Linked DNA regions of Arabidopsis thaliana. The protein of the gene in region 1 interacts with the protein of each later gene in a pairwise test. Each region holds a gene or a part of one and is shown on either strand. Other genes may lie near its edges.

Region 1 (8,962 bases):
GCATGATCAGCTCTTACAGTTGCCATTTCTCCATATCTTTCAAAGGGGACCTCTTGCACTAGCGTTTGTTCCTCGAAACACGCCCCTTCATCAATTTGGAGCCATCAGAAGGGTTTTTTCCCTTTTGAGTGACAACACTTTTGCTGTAAGTCCCAGCTCTCTTTATTCAATTACTCTTACATAAAGAGAATCATGCACTGTAGAGATTGTTGTCTTAGCTTTCCGGATTAACATTAATGTTTCACCATGTTGTGTAACAGATTCTTTTCTTTTCTCTACAGGTTCTTGCCATCAACATCTATTGGTCTTTCTTCAGGGTTCTTTTACCATTTTCGATTGGCCGAGTTGTTTTAGTTCTCCTACGCTGTCTCCCACACGGTTGGATTGCGGAAAATGCATCTGAAATGGCTGCTGGAGATATGGTTATACGCTCAGTTTTATTGGCTTGCCTTGGAGGAGTCTTTACTATGTCTCGAGACACTTATCTAACAAGCGTCAGAACGTTTTTACCGTCAGTTAAGGATACATTCATCTTGTCTTTTAAACTCGGTGTTCTGCCTTGGTTACTTGGTTGCTGGCTACATTTCTGCACTTTCCCTATACTGGGAAAGACAGCTTCCCACACCGTTGAGGTTCTTTCAGACTATCCACTCATGGCTGACAAACATTGGTTAATGGGAACGTTGTACTTGGTATCTGCTTTAAGTTGCATGGAGCTTATCCAAAAGGTAAAATTTGAACTTTTTGTTCAGTTCTCACGCATCATCTAGTTTACTCCACTTTCTCTTCTTTCTTTTGGCAGATAGTTCAGAAACGAGCCTTATGGTATCTGCTAGATGTTGCAGAACCAAACTACAAAGTCACCAAACTGCATCTTGGTCCCATTCTCTTGGCGTTTGCTTTGCATGGGACAATGGTGGTGATTGTGCTTCACTTACCAATAAAAACAATCAGTCTCATCAGCCAGTCCTTTTTCCCTCTCCAATTTGGGTAAGCTCCTCTGGACCTTACCACATAATGTTTCTAATTTCTCGATTCTTGAACAAAATGTGCCTAATAAGGGATATGCAGGGTGTACGAGGATGAGTTTGTGTTTGGCTTACTTGTTGCTTATATGTGCCTAGTAATATTCGGTCCCCGGTGGTTAGCCAATTTAATTAGACCATCCATCAGACCCATAGTTCACAAGTGGGTTATCACTATCAGTTCTTTGCTCAAGTTGAGTGATTTCTTGCTTGGAGAGCCCCGAAAACACCGTGCAAATCATAATATGAGACTTCGGTGTCTAGTATTTGGCATAGCTGAAGGCTCTATGGTCAGTTTGCATGGATCTCAAAGCGATACCACCTGTGAAAAGGATACAAACGAGCAAAGAGATAAAAGGTAGTAGTTAACATGCTTTTAATAGAGATAACTTCCTTCGCAAAATCTATATTCTGATAAGTTGAAGTCTCAGGTTTATGGTGAGGATTGGAGTGATGTTGATTCTTGCTTCTCTGAGTATGTTTCTTGTTAGTACAACCTTCATGGCTTTACCAATTCTAGTGGGAAGGGCGTTTTTCCACTCTATCTCTTTCTTCATGCTAAGTTTCGGACTCAAACACGACGGTTTGTACTTTCTTAATCTTGCTTCACACGTCTTTCTCCTTTGTATTATGCTTCTAATTTTAAAACCAATCATTTTAGATCTTTGTGCTTTCTGGATTGGATTCTGTATCCTGCGAGGAATCTATATCATCACTTGCTTTGTCTATGATCATTTCATAACGGGAAGAACCGATTTGCTTCTCAACCATGTCCTGATGTTCATACGGAATGTCTTGTTATTCTCCATATGGGTAAGAAATCCCAAAACTCTTTCACTGAAAACGTCTGAATATTATGAATTTTTGAATCATGATGTTTTGCTGTGAACAGATCTCTGTCATACCGGGAGTGCTCGGTCTCCTTATCGACCTTATGATCATCATCCCATCACAAGTTCCGCTAGGTGAATCCCCAGTATATAACTTGCTCCACGATTGGTTGATCGGTGTAGTCGTCCTACACATCTGGATCTTTCTGGTAAGATGAAACGTCTGTCCATCATTATTGCTTCAATCAAGAACTCGTTATTGTAACTGCTTTCTTCTCTCGCAGACTATGCTCACACGGATCAACTGTTTTGCAACTGTGGCCTGGCGGGAAAAGCTTCAAAGAATCAGAAGCGTTACAATCAACCGACTTCCCTTTACGTGGCTGATTCGAGATGTTATTGGTTCGATCATAGTGTCCCTTTTATTCACTCTCTGCGTTCCCTACGTGGTGGTAAACTCTCTGTTCCCAATTCTTGGATTTTCCAGTGCAGTCAACTTAACCGTCCAGCGGTTCATTTGGCCGGCGATCCTTGCCTTAATCCCCATATGGTTTAGTGTCAAGCTCATTCGTGATCTTATCCTCTACCTTCACAAGCTGGAATTCGATAATCGATACAAAGTGGGCGAGAGGCTGGTCGATTTCACTGAAGATCTCGAGTAACAACGACCAAAACCAATGGTTATTAATAGAGAATGTACCTAGTCTTCAATTATAAGTACATATACAGTTTCTTGGTGGGTGAAAGTGAAACAGTCTTCTTCACTTAAGATTGAGAATCATCGAGTCCTTGGGGCATCTTAAGTTTCATTAATATGATAATGGATGGTGCAATGTGTAGATTTTGCTTATGATATGCAATTTACACGATTGATTAGTTTCAAAATATGATGCAAGTTTTATATTCTCAACAACACAATGTACAACAGAGGTATTTTCCAGAATAAACGTAGCCAAACTCGTAACTGAAATAGGAATACTACTGTTTGGTGCTACTGAGAACGGGAGCTTTAGAGGAATCTAACAAAAAAACTTGTTACCAAGTAAAATTCTACATTTTATGGTTCTGATTTTGCTTCTTCTCAACTTGAGCTCTTAAAGAAAGGATGGTCAAGAGCTTCGTTTGCTGTGAGACGCTCAGATGGATCATATGCCAATAAACCATACAATAGATCTGCAAATCTAGATCTCGTGTTGTCAACATGTTTCGATACCATATCCTGCAAGAATTGTAAGCAGTTTCTACTTCAGATTACGGCATATTAAACAAAAGATATATCATTAGACACTAACAAGAATTAATGGTGATTAAACCTTGAGACGATCAAGTCTTTTTACAGCCCTAATACTTTCTCTAGAGTTGGCTCCTTCTGGCCAATTCAACCGACACCCTCTCCTGAAATATTTCTCAGCACCCCGGCTACAAAAACATAACGACCATACATGCAACAACCGATGAGCATTTATATCTCTGTGGACTTTTTACGCACCCAAATGTTTGTGGAAACAGAAAAGTAACCTGGCTTTTCGAGTCATATGTTCAGGTAAAGGTCCAAGCGCCCTCTCCATCATAGCTAGATGTTCTAGGTTATCATGCGTCTGAAAGAGAGCCTCACCCTGATGGACAGTTTGAAAATGTTGACAATAGTAAGTAAAACAACTAATAAACATGGAGATAAGAATTCATACAACAAAATGAAGAGACTTTACCGTGCATAGTTCAAATAGTATACAACCTATACTCCATAAGTCACACTGGTAACTCCATCCTAGACCTGCAATGATATGCCACTGATTAGTTACCAGGGAAAAATTATGTTCATTCGTTAAGCATCAGCTACGGAATCCACAAGCATCTATTGACGAGCAAGTAACTGATTAGCCTACCTAAAATGACCTCGGGGGATCTGTAATGTCTTGTTTGGACAATGGAGTGATGAATCCGGTTATCACAAACAGTACTGCCAAAATCAATCAGTTTAATGGCGCTTGACTTTGGTAAGCACCTGAAATGTGTCTCATTTGCAGCACTCCTCTGTTATTTAAAATCAAATACCAAACTGTCAAAAAGTACAAACTCTTGAAGATTTTTCTTTTTCTTTCAAAACTTTAACTACAGAGAGTGTACCCAAACCCAACCTTAACCTATTTCAGTTCTAGATACCTTATTGTCAGGAAGCTTTACATTTTCAGAAGACACCAACAGAATGTTCTCAGGCTTGAGGTCGGTGTGAACTAACTGTAACTCGTGCATATCTGTAGACAAGGAAGATTATGTTAAGAACAGAGAGGCATTAGGTAGGAACTACAGCTGCTGAACCGGGACATAAAGGTGACGTGCTAGGTACGATAATTGTATAAAATAGCAGCAGATAGGAACAATTCACAGACATGCTACAGATTCCAAAAGCTGGCATCCAAAATCCCGAACAAGGGCCAGAGGAAATGCGGAGTATTTATTTCTCTTTAGAAAGTCAAACAAACTTGGCCCAAGCTTCTCGAACACCTGGTATCACCATTAGAGTTCATTCACAGGAAGGTTCCGTTTAGTTCCAAACTTCGAAAAAATCCACATGAGTAAACAAACTACACAAACACTATACACGGAATTGGATTTCTGTCACTTGGGCATCAAACAAAGAAAGGTAGCCAGAAATATTATGATTCATTCATTTGTAACACTAACAAACCTCACAGGTCACTGAACATAGAACCAATTAAATATTAGAGATGCATTTGAACGGTGGTGGAAATCAATGAGCTTAGTTGGGATACTTACAATGCAAATATGATTTCGGTAATCAAACCAGTTCTTCATCTGTACACAGCTGCAAGGACAAAGCAGAAATGAAGAAACTGAGCAATGATATACACCTCTGAAGGAAACGATGTCATCAACTAAAGTCTAGAAGATAAATAAATACCGTGTGCGGCCTTTATCACTCTTAACAAGTTTCTGAAGTACATCAATTTCAATCATTGCTGCATCCCGGTATTTCTTAATGCTTCGAATTATCTTTATTGCCACATATTCTTTTGTATCACGATCCCAACATTCCAAAACCCGACCAAATGTGCCTACAACACCAGCAAGTTCACTGAAATGGCACGATTTGATTCACATAAACATTTTTTTTATCTCGAACACACCATGCCACTTGACAGCTAACCTTCACCCATCTTGCTAAGTATTTTATCTGTCAAAAGTCAAAACAGAACACACAATAGCGTAAGTTAAGCAATTAAAAATGTTCAGGAAGGATTCTCATCCCAATGAAACGAAAGCGAAAAAAGATTATCCCTAAGGCAATGGTGCCAAACAAAACAAAGAGTTACTAGCAACAATACACATATAGAAGCAACATAGGTAAATATCTTAGCTCACATAGAATAGAAAGTTAGCAACTTTATCCATCAAAAACTCACATCTAGGAGTGAGATTGTCCCTCAAACTGAAAACATAATGACCATCACGATCATCGTCCCTTAATGGTGGTGACAAAATCCTCCCATCGCTTCCATGTCCTTTAATCACAGCCCTTTTAGCCTATCACAAAAAAGTCAAAATTCATTCATTGTCAGCATATCAAAATCTCACCAAAGAAACATAAATGCTCGGTCTTTCCTCCACATTCTAAACCCTAATTCGAAGTTCTAAATGTCAAAGATTAATTAAAAAAAGAAGAAGAAGAAAGAGGAGCAACCTCTGGTTCAGCTGGGGCCTCGTCCCAGGTCATACGAGGACGTTTCCTGACTCGTTCTTTATCCATACTCTCGAATCCGTTAGCTATCATCACCGACGCGGAAAATCGATCACCGACACATCCAGAACGGAATCTGATGCCAATCTGCAGCTAAAAGAGGGAAAATTTCTACCAGAAACTCTTTACGTAGATGTAATCACAAGGCGGCGAATCGGGGAGAAGGTGATAATCTCCGAAAATGGTGAAAACAGAGGAATTGCTAGGGTTTGGAACTAGAGAGAGTGCAAGAGAAAGACAACTCCCAATAATTTTACCGGCCAAATCCCTTGGGGTCGAACCGCGACGACATCCACCAATTGCATTTTTTTTGCACTTTCCACCGAAAAAATTGGGTCTACACGATCACCCGGAATGTTTCGCCCACCCGGCCCAAATGAAATGTGGTGAGATCTTCTTATAATCTTGGCCCAAATTTCCATCATGGATCTTAAACGTTCGTTTCATTGTTTCTTGGATTTTTTTTCATTAACTGGTCCATCTCAAAATGGGCTTCCATAAAAATGGGCTTTTTTACAAAAGGGTTTTGTTTCATTAATTGATTTTCGTGTTTTTTTATCCGTAACAATTATGCTTTCGTTTCCTAATTTATACGAGCAAACGTAAAAATGTATAGTATTTGACTATTTGGTTTTACGTATCAACAATCAACAACATACTGTACATCAGTACATACACAATTTTTTTTTAACATACACAAACTTACTTTATGTACAAATGAACTATTAAGAAATGGCTTTAGCCTTGTTATTGCATGCATCTTCTTAATTTGTGTATGTGAAATTCTTCATAGGAGCTAATTAAGGGACGAAGACAAAGTGTATCCCCCTTCATGTATTACCTAAACGTATCTTAGAATTTCAAAACATTGTTTTCCTTAGAATTTTTTAAAAAAATTGTAAACATGCACATCCAACACTGGAAAGTGGAAAGAAGTATATATATATGATATGTTATCTCAAAAAAACTGAAATGATTGTATTAAAAACATACTAAATTCTGACTGATGATAGATATTGATACGTAATTCATTTGTTTATTATTGTTCGTTTTGTTTTCAACACTACTATTCCTGTCACGGTCTCATTTAATAACAACAACAAAAAAGACGTCAAGATTTGACTTTTGAGTTCCTCAATTTTTTCAACTCCAGTATTTAAACAGCTAATTATTACATAATTTATCGTAAGAAAAAAAAAAAAAAAAACCTTATCCCCCTGATATTGTAGATCTCGATTGTAATCACTACACCTGATGCCACATTAAATACACACAGAGACGTAAATAAGAGTCAAAAAAGTCGATGAAGCCTTCTGCATATATAACAACAAAGTTGAATATATAAAGAGTAAAATTCATCATACTACAATCTTGAAAAATTATAATTTATTAGATGGTTAAGTAAATTTGTTTTATAGTATTGTTATATTCTTTTTTTCCAAAAAATATAGGGAAAACAAAAACCAGTAAAAAAAAAAGTCAACTTAATTTGCTCACCACCTTCTTGATCATCTAAACACCTCTTTAATAATTCAAAACTAAAAAAAAAAGGTATAAATGAAAGAGACAAAAGAGGGAAGTATATATCATCAAGCTTGAAGAAGAGAGAGAAGAAGAAGAAGGAAAAAAGAATGTCTACGACGACTACTGAGGCGAGATCACCGTTGCCGTTGTTGTTGAGAAGAGGAAGGTCTTCGACGGCGTTATCGGCGTCGACGGCGGAAGCAAGATCGCCGTTATCGATACTGCAGTTCAGAAGAAGATCGAGCAAAGATGTGAGGAACATAACGTCAGTTTCGAGCAGTCTCTTGCCTGCTTTTGGGACTTTCATCGAAGATGATAATCCTTCTTCCAAACCTTTCATCGTTCTTCACTTTGATCGTCGTTACAGGTTCATTTCTCACTAACTAAACAACGAAGAAATGTTTTTTGGTTATCAAACAATAAATAGTGATTTACAGATTTCATAACTTTTCTGTTTCTATTAGTCCATAAATTAATGATCAAATGATTCGTTCATTAATTTTCATATTTTTACGTCTTAAAATTGTTATTTCTTATTAATATTCATATATCTTAATTTTTTTTTAATCTTTCCATATAAAAATTAATGGTAGGTTGTGGGAATTGTTTTTGGTGATATTGGTTGGGTATTCGGCGTGGGCATCTTTGTTCGAGTTGGCTTTCGAGAAAGCTGCCGAAGGAGCGTTATTGACCATTGATCTCGTCGTTGACTTCTTCTTCGCCGTTGATATCATCCTCACCTTTTTTGTTTCCTACTTGGATAATACTACTTACCTCAATGTCACCGACCACAAGCTCATCGCCAAACGGTAACAAATCAATTTGTTTTTATATGTTAAAAAAATAACATAAGTAAAATGAATAAGTTAGAATTGAATTATATATGTTGTGCATTATTATAGGTACTTGAAGAGCGTGGCTTTTGTGATGGACGTAGCATCAACGTTACCCATTCAATTCATTTATAAAACTATTACCGGAGATGTCGGACGAGGCCAAGCTTTCGGCTTCCTTAATTTACTCCGCCTCTGGCGTCTCCGTCGTGTAGCCGAACTCTTTAAAAGGTTTTTTCTTTACTACTTTCTATATAATATGCAATATTGAAATCCACTTATCATATAGTACATATGTGTGTGTCTATTTTACACTTCCTTTCTTTCTTTTTTTAACAGACTAGAGAAAGACGCACATTTCAACTATTTCGTGATCCGAGTCATCAAACTTCTATGTGTAAGTTTTACTTATATTGAATTATCTATATGTGGTCCATACAATCACTAAATTGGCTATGTCAATCTATGACTTTTATTCAAATTGTGAAATTTGATTCAGGTAACGATATTTTGGATACATTTGGCGGGTTGCATTTTATACTGGATAGCCTACCATTATCCAAGGCCTACGGATACATGGATAGGATCGCAAGTTGAGGATTTTAAGGAAAGAAGTGTATGGTTAGGGTACACTTACTCAATGTACTGGTCCATTGTCACACTCACTACCGTGGGTTACGGTGATTTGCATGCAGTTAATAGCCGTGAGAAGACATTCAACATGTTCTACATGCTTTTCAACATTGGCCTCACTTCTTATATCATCGGTATCATGACCAATCTAGTTGTCCATGGCGCTCTTCGTACATTCGCCATGGTATATAATCATTCATTGCTTAAACCCGAAAAGATTGTTTACTCATTCATTTACTCTACCAGTCGTACAATAATCATTCTTCTGCTGAACAGAGGAGTGCGATCAATGATATATTGCGATACACAAGCAAGAACAGGTTACCGGATACAATGAGGGAACAGATGCTTGCACAT
Region 2 (10,108 bases), on another chromosome or scaffold:
CAAAGTACCTTAAAGTTTTATGTTTACTAAAAGTTTCTAATTTTTTTAGGTGGAAATGTTCCTAAATCAAATATGACTTGTTTCTAAAATTTTATACACTTTTTAAACCCAACATTTTTGGGGCTATTTAAAATTTTAAAGATTTTATGATAATTAAAAAGGAATAAATTAGCGCGCTCAATAATAAAAGAGAACTAGATCATAACTCGTGCTGTACAGCACGAACATTAATATTTTGTATAAATTAAATTGTATACTTTGTTTGAATTACATAAGAAATAGTATAATATAAAAGTGATGCCATAATATTTTTCAATGTTTTTACTATTTGCATATAATGCTGCATTGAATTGACTTTGTTTAAAAATGTTATTTTTATAATAAATACAACATATGTAGTTTTAAGTAAATGTGTAAAATTTGTATACAAGTTGTTTTGGTAAGAAACATGTTTCCTTTGTATTAAAGGGTCTAATTTTTGGCCTAACTTAGAATTAGTCTTTGTATAGTATTTGGATTATATTTGTGGACCTAATTGAGGCCTATATTAGATTATCTTTGATAGGGCTGACGAAAAAACGGACCCAATAACCAACTCAATACCCGAACCAAAAAAACGGGTTAGGGCGGGTTAAAATTTTAGGAAATTTCCTTATTGGGTAGAGTTTTAGTAAACCCGTGGATATCCGATTGGTCTGGAAATTACCTGGTACAAAACAAAGTATTCAAAAACCCAAACATTAATTTAATATCCAAAATATTAATTATATTTAATCGTAATATTATCTAATTATCTAAGATTATAATTATAAATTTAAATATGTCAATTAATTTTGGACCTAAATATCCAAAACAACTAAACTATTCAAAAATGATTTGTTATGTTTGTCAAAATTTTGTAAAATATATTCAAATATAATTAAATTTATTAAAACTTAACAAATTTAAAAGTTTTTTTTGTTTGGAGACCCGCTATGTACATACAAATTTCCAGTTTCTATTTTTTTTTGGATATTTTTAGGGTCTGAAACTTTTTATCCAAACTGACCCAAACCCAACTGGATCCGACCCGAACCAGAACCAAATATTTAGAATTATTCTATTGGATAGTAAATCATATACCCATTAATCCCAAACCCGAACGGGTTCTACCAGAACTCGAATGGGTTACTCGTATGCCCAACCCTATTCTCTGATTTAATTATCTAAAAACTCCCAAAAAAAACATATGTTTTGCTGACTACTTTTTATTCAAAAAAATGTACATCCTCTTCTACCAAAATCATTTCATAAGACATCCCAAAACCCTTGGAATAATGATTTTATGAATGAAGAATCCTAATTTGTATATACCAAGAGGTTTTAAAAAGTTTTAAGTTTTTATTTCTAATGGCATACCTATGTAATTACTTACAAAAAATAAGGTTACATTTAAAATGCTTATTTATAATTTTTGATAAGTGTGTATGTGAGAAGGTACGGACATCGTGATGGTAATCTGCTTATTTATAATTTTAACTTGCAGTATACCACATGTAGGCTTATATTTTATTTAAACTAAAAATTTTTATTGTAAAGATGATTATAAATATATGATATTATTTTATTTGATTTTAAATGTATAGTAAACTGCGAGTTGTATATGTTTTGTTGATATTATTTATATTGTTTAGTGTTTAAAATTATACACTTGTATTTTGATTGTTAATTTTAGAGTTTCACATGTAGTATACCATCTTGTATTAATATCGATTTAAACCCGTCAATTCTAGGATTTTCTATCTTGTATTAAAAATTGAATCACATCATACACATAAAAAAATCTAATATGTTATTAATTATTGTAGTATATAAGATTATAAATTTTTAAAATAATATGTATGAAATTGAATATAAATATTCAAATTATGACCCAGTATTCAGTAGAAAATTTTCTTAAATCTATTTTTGACCCGTTATAATATTTTTTCATGTATTGAACAGTTTATATTAGTTTTTAAAAATTCAAATTATGGCATATGCGAAAAAACTCTAATTATTTTTTTATAACGATGATATTATTTTTTCGCCAAAATAGAATCATATAAAGATGAGAGGTGAACTATAATAATTAATAAAAAATTAATATGATAATTTAGATATCAAATCTAATTTGTTGATTTTAATTGGTTACTTTTTTGGAAATTAATAATGTATTTTGTTTTTTAATTAAATTTAATTAATTAAATTAGTATTTGACTTAATTATTAAAGAGATGAATTAATTTACTCTTTAAATTTTATTTCTAATGGCATACTTATGTAATTACTTACAAAAAATAAGGTTATATTTAAAATGTACTTCCTAAATAATATAGTAGGATTTCTTAATTAGGAAAATGACAAAAAAATATTATATTTACCTCTTAACTTTTGAGATTTTATTTAAATTTATGAAAGTTTTGCTTTTTTTTCAGCGGAGATGTTAGGCGAAACTTACATTATTTTCTTGTCAGCAAAGATTTGGTGAATTCGTTAATTCGATGATGATAACGTTAGTGACGGTTGCAAAAATGTTTCTGTTTTTACGGTTTTTTGATTCATGTAGAGGCAAAGTTTGTTTGTAATTGGAAAGAAAAAATAAATTAAATAACGAATCTTAAAAAGTCTTCCAAGTTGATTTTTTTCTTTACTGACATAAATTTTGCTTTATATATCATACAAATACGTCAAAGTCCATAATTTCGATGATGGTGATGACAAAAGAAAATATGTTATTATCTTTTGCATGACATGCCCTCATATATGAAACTGAAACACAGAGTTATGAGCTCATCTATATATACATTTTTGCTGCTACTTTGTGAAATAAATACTGGAGTTGGGATTTATTTACAACGGCTGCCACTGGCATTTAATAATTGTTTTTGATAATTAGAAAGAAAATCTTCTAATTAAATATTTGACATTTAACAATCTTCCCAAAATCTCTCAACCTTAACTACACGATTAATTACTAAAATAAAACTTCTAAAATATTTAATATCATTTAATTACTACAAAATTATCATTTTTGATATTGCTTTTCTGCATGATTATAATCATCAAACCGTAGAGATATTTGATAGCATTTAATTACTACAAAATTACAAAATATTTAGACAATAATTCATAAACATATCATAAATAAAATCAACATTAATAAAATAAATGAGTTTTTTTTAGAGGACGGGTTGGCGGGACGAGTTTGGCAGGACGTTATTTAATAACAATTGTAAACTATACAATAAAAATATTTTATAGATAGATAAAATTTACAAACTTTTATATATATTAATTAAAAAAATAAATTGTTTCCGCGGTGTACTGCGGGTTAAAATCTAGTCTAATACAATATTAGAGATAACTATAGTCATTGCTCTCATTTTTCCATTTGCATACTTATATGTTCTCAATTCTCATACCTACCTTATATTGTGTGCCCATACACCTTCCATGCGCACTTGTTGTCCACACAAATTACGATCAAACAACTGTTATATAGTTTCCACCCACACTTTCACCTATGGTTTAAGAAACATAAGTTACTCTAATGTAGTAGGACGAGTTGACCAAACCTAACTCCTTCATTTTGTTGCACCAACCCATATTTTTACCGAGTAATGCACACCCCAAAACTTATAATCATAGTCATCTTCCTTTCACGTCCCATAAGGTTCACATTGATTACTCTAATCTATTTCACTTTCAAGATTACCACCACATGTAACTTTTCCATTCCTTTTCCACATTTATCTCTTAAACCTCAAACACTTTCAAGTTTCATCTTCTCTCTCTCTTATTAACTTCATCTACCAACCCTACTTAACCTAAAACCATTTTCAATTGCTTAATCAGTCCACACAATGCACATAAATTTCCGTGACCACACTGTTCGTTTTAGAAGAAAAAAACCACTTCCAAAATTGCATATGTACCAATAAGATAAAATGTTTTACTCATTCAAATAGACCTACGAGATTAATTAAGACTAGGTTTGCTTTGGGCTAAAACTGGCCCATAAGCTATGGCAATTGAAACCAATCAGATTACAAAAAAGGCTTGTCAAGAAGATGAGACCGAACATGTTCCAATAAATGGCAATAACGTAATTCTCAAAACCTCTGAGGGTAACAATGGAAAAACAAAATGAAGTGAGTCCGATATAGCTAGGGCTCGTTAAAAACTCTTCAAAATCTCTGTGGAAGCCCCATTTTCACATCTAAATCTCACAAATCTCTCTCAAGCTTCGATCTTTCTTCTAGAGACGAGCTAGTGCTTCCACAAACCCTAAACTATGTCCGGCGGTTTCTTCCGGGTTAGTTTTCCGATCAATTTTCTCAATTGATCTCTCATCTTTTAGATCCAGATCGATGCAATTCAAAAGTTTTGTTGAAGTTCCCATGGTTTAATAACTTCTTTGTTTTGAGCTTTTAGGGTACTTCCGCCGAGCAGGATACTCGGTTTTCTAACAAGCAAGCTAAATTGATGAAAAGCCAGAAATTTGCTCCGGAGTTAGAGAATCTGGTGAGTTTTCTCTTTGTGTACTCGTCCATTTTAACGATTTGTGAATTCGTAGCTTGAATTTACTTAATTGAGATTCGATTACCAGATAATTCGATACATATGTTACTATGAAATTAAGTTTGGGGAGGGCTTAATGATGTCTTCTACTTGCCTTGGTGTTAGGTGGATATCACTAAAGTGAAGATGGATGTTATGAAACCTTGGATTGCGACTAGAGTCACTGAGCTTCTTGGTATTGAAGATGAAGTGCTGATTAACTTTATCTATGGTCTGCTTGACGGGAAGGTAAGCTCATTACTGAGATTTTATTTTTCTGAGCTTTTTATTCGACTGTTAATAAGTGACAGAGGGGTAGTATGATTTCGTAGCCCATGCCATTGATACAAGTGATTTTTTTTTGTTGGACTAATATGTAATTGAACGTTCACTATGTATGTAGGTAGTGAATGGTAAGGAGATTCAGATAACGCTAACTGGATTCATGGAGAAAAATACTGGCAAATTTATGAAAGAACTTTGGACACTTCTTCTAAGCGCACAGAATAATCCAAGTGGTGTTCCACAGCAGTTTTTAGATGCTAGAGCTGCTGAAACAAAGAAGAAACAGGTATTCTTGGGAACTCATTCTGAAGTTAGTTTGGTGAACGACTTGTCTCTGTCCTACTGTTTCATGATTATTATCCTTTATGTGGCAGGAAGAAGCAAATGAAATAATGAAGAAGAGGGAGGGAGATAAGAAGAACATTGAGCACGATATATTGAGGAAAATAGTAAGACGTTCTTATTCATGCTAGAGTTTCAGCTTTAGAGATGCTCTTCTGGTTTTAACATTCGCCTGTTCTTTCATGTTATTCAGATAGCTTCTGCAATTATTAGGGTTCATGTGCTTTACCTCAACTACTGTAGGACAGCGGTGTAGAACATAAGGAGACAAATGGCATGGATGCAAAACCTTCAAGAGATCGTCCAGAGGATGGGAGAAGGGCTGACGAGAAGAATGGTGTAAAAGAAAGGAGAAGGTAGAGTTCTCTTAATGCCTATGATTTCATAGCTACTCTCTACTCATCGCTGTATTCCCTTGTGTACTTTATTATTGATTGAGTTCATCCTTCTAGTCTACTCATAACTTTGTACGTTGATTTTCTCTATAAGAACTCGTGGGCATGAGTTGTTCAAGTATTTCTATAAATGACTGTTCTGGGTCTTCTAGTCTTTTAGCATTTTTAGGTATGCTACTGGTACTTTGCATGTGCATTTGGTTTGCTGGTGGTCCAGGAATTTGTTTGTGGCCAAGATTATTATGTAAGTGGGTTCTGACATTGCCTCCACTTGATGCAGGGATCTGATACCTCCACGTCGCGGAGATGCATCCCGCTCACCCCTTAGGTGACTCTTCAATAGTTTTGTTTTTTCTAATACAATTTGCTTATATGTGCAAGTATATATTGATTGGTTGCTTTACAGAGGGTCACGTTCTAGGTCAATCAGCAAAACAAATTCAGGCTCGAAAAGTTATTCTGGGTATGTAGCCTTCTGCAATTGTTTTTCTTAATCCAAAGAAATTGTAGCCTGTGATGTGTAGCTAGCTAGTTCTGTATCTATTATTTTCTGTAAATCCTAGTGCAGTTTTTGCTAATGCTGTCTACTTTTATAACAGCGAACGGAAATCCAGGAGCACATCTCAATCATCAGATGCCTCCATCTCACCTAGAAAGCGAAGATTGTCGAATTCAAGACGTAGATCCAGATCACGTTCCGTGCGTAGGTCTCTGTCTCCTCGGCGACGTAGGATACACTCTCCTTTCAGAAGCAGGTCGCGGTCACCTATTAGACGTCACAGGCGACCTACGCATGAGGGACGCCGTCAATCACCAGCCCCTTCAAGACGTCGCCGTTCTCCATCCCCACCTGCTAGACGGCGCAGGTCACCATCCCCACCTGCTAGACGGCGCAGGTCACCATCACCACCTGCTAGACGGCACAGGTCTCCAACACCACCTGCAAGGCAGCGCAGGTCACCATCGCCCCCTGCTAGGCGTCACCGTTCTCCACCGCCAGCTAGGCGGCGTAGGTCTCCTTCACCGCCAGCTAGGCGGCGTAGGTCTCCTTCACCGCCAGCTAGGCGGCGTAGGTCTCCATCTCCACTCTACAGGCGTAACAGGTCTCCATCTCCACTCTATAGGCGTAACAGGTCACGGTCACCGCTGGCTAAGCGGGGAAGGTCTGACTCACCAGGGAGGTCTCCGTCACCAGTGGCTAGGCTCAGGGATCCCACTGGGGCAAGATTGCCTTCACCATCCATTGAGCAAAGATTGCCTTCACCACCCGTTGCACAAAGGTTGCCTTCACCACCCCCTAGGCGTGCAGGATTACCTTCACCACCCCCTGCGCAAAGGTTGCCTTCACCACCCCCTAGGCGTGCAGGATTACCTTCACCAATGAGGATTGGAGGATCTCATGCAGCCAATCACCTGGAATCACCATCACCCAGCTCATTGTCCCCTCCTGGTAGGAAAAAAGTGTTACCATCTCCACCTGTTAGAAGACGCAGGTCACTGACACCTGACGAAGAGCGAGTCTCCCTGTCACAAGGTGGACGCCATACTTCCCCTTCACATATCAAGCAAGATGGATCTATGTCACCTGTTAGGGGTCGAGGTAAATCTTCTCCTTCATCTCGACATCAGAAAGCGCGCTCTCCTGTTCGGCGCAGATCACCAACACCTGTCAACCGGCGAAGTCGAAGATCTTCATCTGCTTCACGATCACCTGATAGACGCAGGAGACGGTCTCCATCTTCGAGCAGATCTCCTTCTAGGTCGCGATCACCTCCTGTTCTTCATAGATCTCCTTCTCCACGTGGAAGAAAACATCAGAGAGAGAGAAGATCTCCTGGGCGTCTATCTGAAGAACAAGATAGGTATGGTCTTCATGACTCCATTTACTATAATCTTCTTCTTATCTGTACTTGTTAACTCCTTGACCCTCTGTCTGCTTTCGCATTGTGACAGGGTTCAAAATTCCAAGCTGTTAAAGAGAACTTCAGTGCCTGATACTGACAAGAGGAAACAATTACCAGAGAAGTTGCTAGAAGTTGGGCGTGTAGAACATTATAAGGAGCAGGAGAGAAAGAGGTGCATTTTGTTTCTTTTCATTTTCCAAATGATTTTCGTTTGACTTCAAATATCAAGGTCTGATAAATGTTGGTCTATTCAACTTCTTAACAGTGATAAGTTGTCAGAGAAGCGATCTGTTCACAGACACCATGGTTCACAGATGTCCCCAGTAGAAAATTCAGAAGGAAGGAGTCGGCCTGTTTCTAGTAAAGTGAAAGACAGTGAGCAGGTTGAGAAAGAGGATAACAGCGACCTGGATGCAAACCTTTCCTGTGATTCTAAGGATACCATCAGACATCAAATTAAGGATAAAAATAGAAGAAAGAATAAAAGGTCTTCAAGGGAAGAAGTATCTTCAGATGATAATGGCAGTTCTGATTCCGACGTAGATGATAGGAAGGAGGCTAAAAGGAGGAGGAAGGAGGAGAAGAAAACGAGAAAGGAGGAGAAGAAACGTAGGCGAGAGGAGAGACATCGTAAAAGGGAAGAACGTCGTGGTGGAAAGGAGAAGCATAAGAAACAAGAGCTTTCTGATACTTCAGAAGGTGAAGTTGAGGCCCGTCCTAAGATTAAAAAAGGGGAGGAATCTGATCCAAAGAGGCTTGAAATTGAGTTGCGAAACAAAGCACTCGAGTCATTGAAAGCAAAGAAGGGCATTAGCCACTAAGTCCCTTGTCCAGCGTTATTTGAACATCATCTTTTATGATACTATCCCTTGCTAGATTTATGAACATCATCTTATGTTGTGTTTTTTCTTACATGTTCCAAACTTTCTTATGTGGTCTGTTTGTTGGTGGCAGCAAAATTGGACAAGTGACAATTATGATAGCAAAATTGGACAAGTGACAATTATGATAGCAAAATTGTTTCTTGCATTGGGTGGTCCCTTTATGTTAACATAAGCTTTAAAAAACCATTTAGGTTAATATAAGCTAACAAAAAAAACCCAAGAGATGTTTTCATGGAAAATATTCCTGTATATGATGAAGTCATGATATAAGTTTCGTAGCTATGTATCCTAAACTGACATAACAAAATATCATTTAGATTTTAAATAGATCAAAGATATATTTTGTAATGATCATTTTCCCAGAAGAGTAGGATCAGATTGTCCTAACAACAAGAAAATATTTCTCAAAACCAGAAATTCTTATTTTCAAATTTACAAATGGAGTAAAATACAATTATAGGCTTTATTCACATCATCATGCTTAATGCATCTTCGTCCAATCTTGAAATCACACAATTCAAAATACAGACACGTTTGTGAGATCACTTTTTAGACTCCATAGAAGAGGTAGTCATCATGAGGGAGAGCTTCAGTTCCTTCGAGATACCGAAACACATTTTTCATCATTGGCCTTGATTCTGGAGATCGGTTGGCGCAGAGAAGTCCTGTTTTCAGAACCAATAATACTTCTCGAGCTACCAAATTCTCTCTATTGATTCTTGTGTCGCAGCTCATTAACAGATCACCTTTCTTGAACCCTTGAAGCACCCAGTTCACCAAACTTATCTCTTCTGGTGCTTTAGTCGGCTCTATGGCCTTCCTTCCACAAACGATCTCCATCATCAACACTCCAAACGCAAACACATCTGTGTCACGTGTTACCTTTCCCGTGTTGACTAGTTCTGGTGCAACGTGCCCTGTGGTGCTGTGTCTGCTTCCTTGTCCATAGTCGCCTAGTCGAGCGTTTAGCTCTTCGTCTAAGAGTACGTTGCTTGCTTTTACGTTTCCATGAATCAAAGGTTTTTGACCTTCACCGTGAAGGTGTTGAAGTGCTGCTGCAATCCCCTTTATTATACAGAACCGATCTGACCAGGTGAGAACTGGTCGGTCGTTGTTGAACAAGAACCGGTCTAGGCTTCCATTGGGGACATACTCGTAAACAAGATAGATATCTTTTCCTTTGCTGCAGTAACCATGTAGATTGACTAGGTTTCGTTGTTTAATCTTGGAGATCGCATCGATCTCGGCTATTAGGGTTGTCTTTTGTTGCCTTGTGGTGCAAGTAATCTTCTTTACGGCAATTATCTCTGTGGGAGCAAGCTGTCCTTTGTAGAAACTTCCAGAGTTTCTCTCTCCCAAGAGTTTAGAATTGTCGAAACCTCCCGTTGCGTTCGATATCGTCTGGTAGGAGAATTTCCTTGCACCTCCGATGAAGAATATTTTGTCTCTACGTAAGAACCAAAATCCTGAGAAGATTAGGATCATGAGTGCAACCGTTGCTGATGCAGCGACGATTATGATCAGCATCGTGTTGTTCGACTTCTTCTCGGTTGAAACCGGAGGACTTGGGGATGGAGACAATGTTGGTGGCGGATCTGGGAGAGAAGGAAGCTTCGTGATATCAAAGTCTGATTCTTTCCCTTCGATGTTGAAGCTCCAACCTAGAACAAAATGTGAGCTCGCTACAGTCCCCGTGGACGCAGAGAATCCAACGTGAT

Evidence for each region.
Region 2: the proteins of AME3 (region 1) and AT2G29210 interact in a two-hybrid assay, tested with the Arabidopsis thaliana proteins (one large-scale study listed by BioGRID).

What each region holds. Positions count from the first base shown.
Region 1 is NC_003075.7:15,753,082-15,762,043, reverse strand, and holds AME3 (Protein kinase superfamily protein), read right to left. Parts: upstream 6,027-8,962; 5' UTR 5,649-6,026; coding exon 5,559-5,648; intron 5,402-5,558; coding exon 5,281-5,401; intron 5,052-5,280; coding exon 5,025-5,051; exon of another isoform or gene 4,933-5,024; coding exon 4,779-4,932; intron 4,683-4,778; coding exon 4,634-4,682; exon of another isoform or gene 4,361-4,633; coding exon 4,246-4,360; intron 4,111-4,245; coding exon 4,019-4,110; intron 3,890-4,018; coding exon 3,742-3,889; intron 3,630-3,741; coding exon 3,565-3,629; intron 3,472-3,564; coding exon 3,374-3,471; intron 3,275-3,373; coding exon 3,169-3,274; coding exon of another isoform or gene 3,163-3,168; exon of another isoform or gene 3,148-3,162; intron 3,075-3,147; coding exon 2,937-3,074; 3' UTR 2,730-2,936; downstream 1-2,729. Other genes in the region: AT4G32670 (RING/FYVE/PHD zinc finger superfamily protein), read left to right, coding at 1-145, 282-728, 803-990, 1,072-1,383, 1,457-1,608, 1,687-1,838, 1,918-2,064, 2,140-2,517; KAT3 (potassium channel protein), read left to right, coding at 7,247-7,506, 7,733-7,948, 8,042-8,203, 8,312-8,369, 8,472-8,789, 8,882-8,962.
Region 2 is NC_003071.7:12,553,842-12,563,949, forward strand, and holds AT2G29210 (splicing factor PWI domain-containing protein), read left to right. Parts: upstream 1-4,137; 5' UTR 4,138-4,314; coding exon 4,315-4,335; intron 4,336-4,454; coding exon 4,455-4,544; intron 4,545-4,706; coding exon 4,707-4,829; intron 4,830-4,983; coding exon 4,984-5,151; intron 5,152-5,239; coding exon 5,240-5,314; intron 5,315-5,450; coding exon 5,451-5,563; intron 5,564-5,882; coding exon 5,883-5,930; intron 5,931-6,008; coding exon 6,009-6,065; intron 6,066-6,201; coding exon 6,202-7,464; intron 7,465-7,555; coding exon 7,556-7,678; intron 7,679-7,771; coding exon 7,772-8,327; 3' UTR 8,328-8,526; downstream 8,527-10,108. Other genes in the region: AT2G29220 (Concanavalin A-like lectin protein kinase family protein), read right to left, coding at 8,940-10,108.